2 linked regions of the Mus musculus genome follow. The protein of the gene in region 1 interacts with the protein of each later gene in a biochemical or structural test. Links are inferred from orthologs where the notes say so. Each region holds a gene or a part of one and is shown on either strand. Other genes may lie near its edges. The genes, in order: Aurka and Incenp.

The links.
Region 2: the proteins of Aurka (region 1) and Incenp form a complex in vitro, tested with the Homo sapiens proteins (3 studies listed by BioGRID and IntAct, with this or other methods). The link is inferred for Mus musculus from reciprocal best matches to the Homo sapiens genes AURKA and INCENP.

The regions. Positions count from the first base shown.
Region 1 is NC_000068.7:172,355,524-172,358,283, reverse strand, and holds the end of Aurka (aurora kinase A), read left to right. Parts: intron 1-1,028; coding exon 1,029-1,203; intron 1,204-1,302; coding exon 1,303-1,488; 3' UTR 1,489-2,094; downstream 2,095-2,760. UniProt on the Homo sapiens protein: Mitotic serine/threonine kinase that contributes to the regulation of cell cycle progression.
Region 2 is NC_000085.6:9,896,992-9,900,910, forward strand, and holds the start of Incenp (inner centromere protein), read right to left. Parts: upstream 2,499-3,919; 5' UTR 2,348-2,498; intron 1-2,347. UniProt on the Homo sapiens protein: Component of the chromosomal passenger complex (CPC), a complex that acts as a key regulator of mitosis.

The sequences.
Region 1 (2,760 bases):
TCTTAGTAACTAATATTTAGTTTACACTCTGATTCAAAGCCGACCTGGGCTACAGCGTGCGACTAATTTTGGGGGGTAGGAAAGGAAAGCCCTAGAAAGGGAGAGTCTATAAATGAAGGCGGCAGCCGTGTACCTCAGGGGACGTCCTGGGTTCTGTAGTCCTGTTTGGCTGTTTGGTTTAGGGGTCTAAAGATTTTATTTTTATTTTACAACGTATGGGTATTTTGCCTGCATGCCTGTCTGTGCACATGGATGCTTAGTGTCCAAGGAGGCTAGAAAAAGAATTGTCAGCTGTGGGCTTGAGTTACAGATGGTTGTGAGCCACCATGGGGTGCCGAGAACTGAATCCAGGCCCTCTGCTAAAGCCTCCCATGCTCTCCACAGCAGAGCCATCCCTCCAGTATCTTGCTATGCAGCCCAGACTCCACTCCAAGCAGGCATTCTCTGGCCCCAGCCCTCTGGCTGCTGCTGGGATCACAGGCGTGAGCCATCACACCCGACTAAGATCTGTTTTTAAGACAGTCTTACCAGACTGATCTGGAACTCAATATCCTTCCCTCTCCACCTCTCAGGTGCTGGGATTAAAAGATAAACCAGCACACAGGGCTTGGTTATGTTTCCCTCTTACCGTCCACACAGGTGTGTGTGCTTGCTCATAGCTGCTTTTACTTAAAGTACCGACTTTAAAGCAGCTATAAGATTTCATGAACAGAGCCGGGCAGTAGTGGTACATGCCTTTATTCCCAGCACTCAGGAGGCAGAGGCAGGCCTGGTCTACAAAGTGAGTTCCAGGACAGCCAGGGCTATACAGAGAAACCCTGTCTCAAAAAAACCTAAAAAAAAAAAAAGATTTCATGAACAGCCGTAGACGTGAGTTGGATGGGTCTGGGGGAAGTTTGGTGGCTCCATGCTTCCCCCTGACCATTTAGGTGGGCACCTGTCTGAGCGCGCTGGCCTGCCATAGTGAGCGCTCATCACATCACCACATGGTATGTCTGTGTGTCAACCCCAGTCTCCGTTTGGTTTAGGAGAACCACAATGTGTGGCACCCTGGACTACCTGCCCCCAGAGATGATTGAAGGCCGGATGCATGACGAGAAGGTGGACCTCTGGAGCCTCGGCGTTCTCTGCTATGAGTTCCTAGTGGGGATGCCTCCTTTCGAGGCACACACGTACCAGGAGACTTACAGAAGGATATCTCGGGTGAGCTGCTGCTGTCAGGCTTCTGCCGAGGGCTGGTGTTTTGTTTATTCATGTTCACCTCTGACCCATGCTTGTGTTGGTTTATCATTTATTCTGCAGGTTGAATTCACTTTCCCTGACTTTGTGACAGAGGGAGCCAGGGACCTCATTTCAAGACTGTTAAAACACAACGCAAGCCAAAGGCTAACACTAGCGGAAGTCCTTGAGCACCCTTGGATCAAAGCTAATTCTTCCAAACCTCCAACTGGCCACACTAGCAAAGAGCCAACCAGCAAATCATCTTAGGGAATCCTGAACCACGGCCACCGTGCAACTGTGAGAAACACCCTATTGAAGCCACCCTCCTGGACCCTCATGGCTGCCCTCAGGGTGCCTTGCTGAGCAACTAGTCCTTGGCCATGCATCCAGGAAACCCCAAGAACCATGCTGCTTTTCCTGATTTAGTAATCTGGAGGGAAGGTTCCACTGCAGCTGTCCCCTACCCTCACCCTGGGCCTGTGCCCCAAGGTGTCCTTGTGGGGGGGGGGGTCTCACTGTGGGAAACTTACCAGAGATCACCTGTGTCGTAGCCTTCAAGTGCCAGAGTGTGTGTATAACTTATTGGGTCACCAGGCCTAGGGAAACTGTTGGAATGGGTATGTAATCTTTTAAATGTCAAAATAAAGATTTGCATAGACTTTGACTTTTAAGTGACACCCATTCAGGGTCTTGTTTCCAGTCGTCTGAAGCCCGTGCGGGATTTGGATCCTCAGCCACTGCTACGGAGCCTGTGCCTTGTCTTGAGACCTGACTCGGGGGTTTCTTTTTCTGCATGTTAAAGGCTATTTTTTATGTTGGAGTTCTGTCATGTATGCAAACTTGTTAAATATATATGTATACCATCTACCTGGAGTACGTGGGTAATCATTTGAGTATCTCTTCACTGTTGGCTAGCCATGAGCGACTGGTGTTTTTCTGGCCTGCTGGATAGTGGCCAGTGCCATCTGTCCATCAACCAGAGGGGGAACTTGGAATTAGAGAAACAGGCTTTCATGGCCAACTGGACCACCATCAGGAACTTGAGAACATGCCTGAGTGGAAGTCTATCCTCTTGGGACAAGAGGCCTCTAGTCATCCGTCCTGTGCTAAGGCTTTGTTGAAGTAGCAATATTGCTAGTACTGTCCACCCAAGCTGCAGTTAAGTGAGATGCAATCCAGGGAGGCAAACTGAGCACGGGACACTGCCTCCTCTAGCTCCGGCTAGTTTGTGACTATCCTACATGCAGAGGAGTGCCACATTCCCATGGCGCTCTTCCTGGCGGCAGTGATGGCTTACCAGACGGCAGACCGCAGACTTTTACAAAGGCTTTTATTTGTTTCAGACTGTAAGCCATTCACTTGGTCTGCTTAAGAAACTAGAGACACACAATGGCTTACATCTTAAAGTGGTTTCCTGGCTCCTGGTCTACTTAAAGATCACATAGGCAGGAGCAGCTCTGTGCGCCTTGCTGGCTTATACGGTGCTTTAGTTGCTTCACCTCAACTCTTGCTGTGTTCTGGCTGCTGGGTAGAGGCCTG
Region 2 (3,919 bases), on another chromosome or scaffold:
AAATTCAGGAGGATCATTTCAAGGTTATGCCTAGCTACATAGCAAGTTTAAGGCCAACCTAGACTACATGAGACCCTGTCTTTAATTTGGGGGCGGGGGGGGGGGAGTCAGTAGATGGAAATGTGCTATACATTCCACAGGAATGCATAAGAAATGAGGGGTCCAGAACCATGTTCTCCAAAGAGACCTCTGAAACCCTCCCTAAAGCCAAAATGTCCTATGAATGGATGAGGGAGAGCGAAGTGAGTGCGCATGCAATGTGCTGCTTTCAGGAAGACCTGGCTGTCAATACCAGGCAAAAGACAATGCAGTGCCAGTTTACCCACTGCCTTAAAAAGCTGGGAGCTTGGATATCTGCCGTACGACCTGACTATATAATCCTAACAAAGGTCCTACACTAAGTGGGAGGATTCTGATACTGTCATATCAGGGCCCCCGATAAGCAGTACCCCAAGTGGTAAACACATGAAAGATCAAGAGTGGGTGGCAGCTATGAGCACTAATATATCGGATCCCACCTTATATAAGGACAGGAAGTTCCCACCATGACTTACACTTTCAAAAGCAAGAAGCATGCATACACACTTCAGCCTCTCAGCTACAGAAAAAGGTCAGGGAAGAAAGGGCTATATTACTGATCCTCTTGGAACATAATGCCATCATATACTGTGGCCTCTAGGTTCTTCCTTGAAGTTCTTCAGCCTGATGTATGAGGCACACTACCCTTTTGCCCTTCAAACAAGTTCTGGCCTCTAGGAACTCTGTCTCCTGTTTTGTACAGCTTCTTCACTTAGCTTTCAGCTCCTTAAGGAGGATCAGACCTCCAATCCAAGCCAAGATCTCACACACAGATTCCAGCTATGTGCACAGCAAATGAGTGATTGTTTATGTTTGCCTACTGCTGGCCTCTACCCACTAACCTGCTCTCTGAGGGTAAGCCTTGTGCCTTCCTCAGCAACAAAAGAGTCTGGCACTTGTGGAATGAATTCATTCATCCATCAACTAATCCTAAAGGTTGTCTCACCATCACACACTGGGACACTCAGTGAGCAACTCAGTAGGCACATGTTAGAACAGGCCAAAACACACCCTGACCTAACGGCCAAAGGCAGCACTAACTGGGGCAAAACCGAATGGATAGGGGCACTGAGCCTTTAGGAAAAAGCATTAACTGTGCAGCCAGCTACTCATCAGCATGGCCTCTCCACTGAGTCTCCCTATCCCCCTGCACCAGAAAACAGCCCTAGCCAAGTCCAAGGCCTCATCAGTTCAAGGCCAGCAAAGAGAAGAGAAAACTGCACAAGGACTCCAAAGACTTGCAGAGGAGCTATAAGAAAGTAACAAATGGGAAATTTTACAAAATGTCTGCTCATGCTACAATCGGAGTGAGCGCTTCTTTCACCAAGTCCAATACCACACTTCTTCTTCCATGGGGAAATGTGCTTTCTAGCAAGCCCTCGCTGAAAAGTTAGAAAAGGTGACTCTGAGGAAAGGAGGAGGTGTAACAAGAATCAGACTCCTGGGTAACTTCACCTTCAGTCCACGAAATAAACAAACCCTACCATGGGAGAAGGAAGGTCACTTCCTCTCCACAAATACTATTTCTGTGCCATTCAGCAGATTAGCAATTGCCATCTCCTCTGGGGGTGCAGGAAATGAACTAAGCATTTCTCCCCACACACACCCCTCCAAGCAGGAAGATCGATCGCTAAAACTGCTCTTCCACTCAAGAGTCCTACTCCATGCCAAGAAACCTCTCAATTCCTTTTTGCCACATACTCCAAGATACCCATGCACATACAAATCTAGGTCAAAGTCACCAAGAAAATCGGAGGGCGGAGCCTGGATTTAAAATGTTTTTTAACCACTAGCCACAGGCCTCCAGGACAATAGTTTCAAGCTCAGAATGACACAATCCCAACGCTTGGCAGCAGGAAGCTGGAGGGAACTGCGCCGCTGACAAGAGCCTACGCTTGCGGGGATGACAAAATAAGTAGCAGGGCGGTCTCCGGAGCTGGGTCAGTTTTTAAATGCTGCTCAGCTGGGACGAAGCTGAGCAGCCGTTGCCATAAAAAGACTCAAGTCCGGGTTTACAGAGCAGCCCAGGCTCTGCACAGGTGTTAGGCCCGGCGTGCGGGGAAGAGGACTGACCATTCTCGGATCCCAGGACTCAAGTGCAGGGCCTCGAAGTTCATCTCCAAGCCTAGAACCATTGGAAGTGATCCCCACACCCATAAGCAACCCATAGGCGAAAGTGACTCCCCTGGCCCATCCTGGGAAGCGAAGAGGCCGGGACCAGTGGCCGAACACCGCGACCCTGCGACTCCCGACGCCCGTTCTCACTCACCCGGCGGCGCCGCGTCTTCCCGGACCACTCCTTTTCCAGTCCGCGGCTTCCGCAGATTAAGCTTCCCGCCACGCCGGACCGGCTGGACTCCCAGTACCGCGAGCTCGCCGCAGGCGAGGACCTACCGGGCGAAGAGCGCGGGCGAATCTACGATTTTCAAAATTGTGGCTCAACCAATTCCCCTTAAGTTTGTCTGGGCGGTTACAAAACTCCAAACCAATCACGTAACAGGACGCACGAGTCCGCTTATCTGCTGGCTGTTAGTGCTGTCAATCTGTGGGACTAGGAGGCGGGGAGAAGAACGTTGACGCTTTTAACACGCCCCAACTTCCGGAAGCTGCGGCAATCTACCCGGCGAGGAAGTGGTTGCGACGAATTACAAGTCCCTGCGTGCACTGCGAAGGCAGGCTTGGTTGGGGAGGATGCCTATTTATCTTCGAGCCAGCCGCTTGGTTCGTTTCAAGTCCGGAATGCTTCTGCGTTCGGAATGACAGCTCTGCTACTTTGCAGTAGTAAAAAGAAACACATTGCAAATCTCACAGAGCCTTCCCTCCAAGAGCAGTCAGGCATATAGTTACAGAATGTTTCCTTAGACCTCCGATTGTCACCCGGAAGTGTTTGCTAAGTACCCTCCAGATTGGACGCCACATACAACGGAGAATTTTTCTGGCCACATATAAAGGTAAAGTCTTGAGTTGAAGGTGTGTCACCACCACCTGTAAAATAAAACACCTCCACCTTCTTTATAGAATCATTCTCAGTAGCCAAGAGGTGGGCGAAACTACAAATGTCCCTGGACAGATTAAACAGAGGGGTTTTATTTATTTTTAAATTGTTTTTCCTTTTATTGAAAATAGATTTCTTTACTCACATACTATATCCTGATACAGTTCCCCTCCCTCTGCTCCTCCCAGTTCTAACCTCCCCTTCCATCTGTATCCACTCCCTTTCAAAACAGACTTCTAAGGGATAATAATAAACTAAGATGTAAAACATAAGATAATACAAAACCTATCATATCTGAATTGGATGAAACAAAGAAAAAAAGCCCCAAGAGAAGGCACAAAGACCAGAGACCCACTTGTTCGAACACTCGGGAATTCCATAAAAGCACTGGAAGCCATAACATATATGCAAGAACCTGATGCAGAGCTGTGCAAACTCTGTCTGGCTGTGAGTCTCTGTATTTGTTCCTATCTGCTTCAGGAGGAAGCTTCTCTGATGATGGCTGAGCAAGGCAATGATCTGAGTGTAGCAGAATGTCAATCACTAGGAGTCATTTTATTGCTATGTTCCTTTAGTAGAACAGTAGTATTTAGTTTAACCCTAGGTCCCTGAGCTATCTTGTCTCAGATTGTTGTTCACCCAAGCAGGATTCGATCTTGTGGAGTGGGCCTTAGGTCAAATCAGATATTGGTTGGTTACTGCCACAGGTTTGTGCCACTATTGCCCCAACATACCTTGCAGGCAGACACCATTGTAGGGTTTTGTTGATCCCACCTGTAATGGTTTGTATATTCTTGGTCTAGGGAGTGGCGCCATTTGGAGGTGTGACCTAGTTGGAGTAGGTGT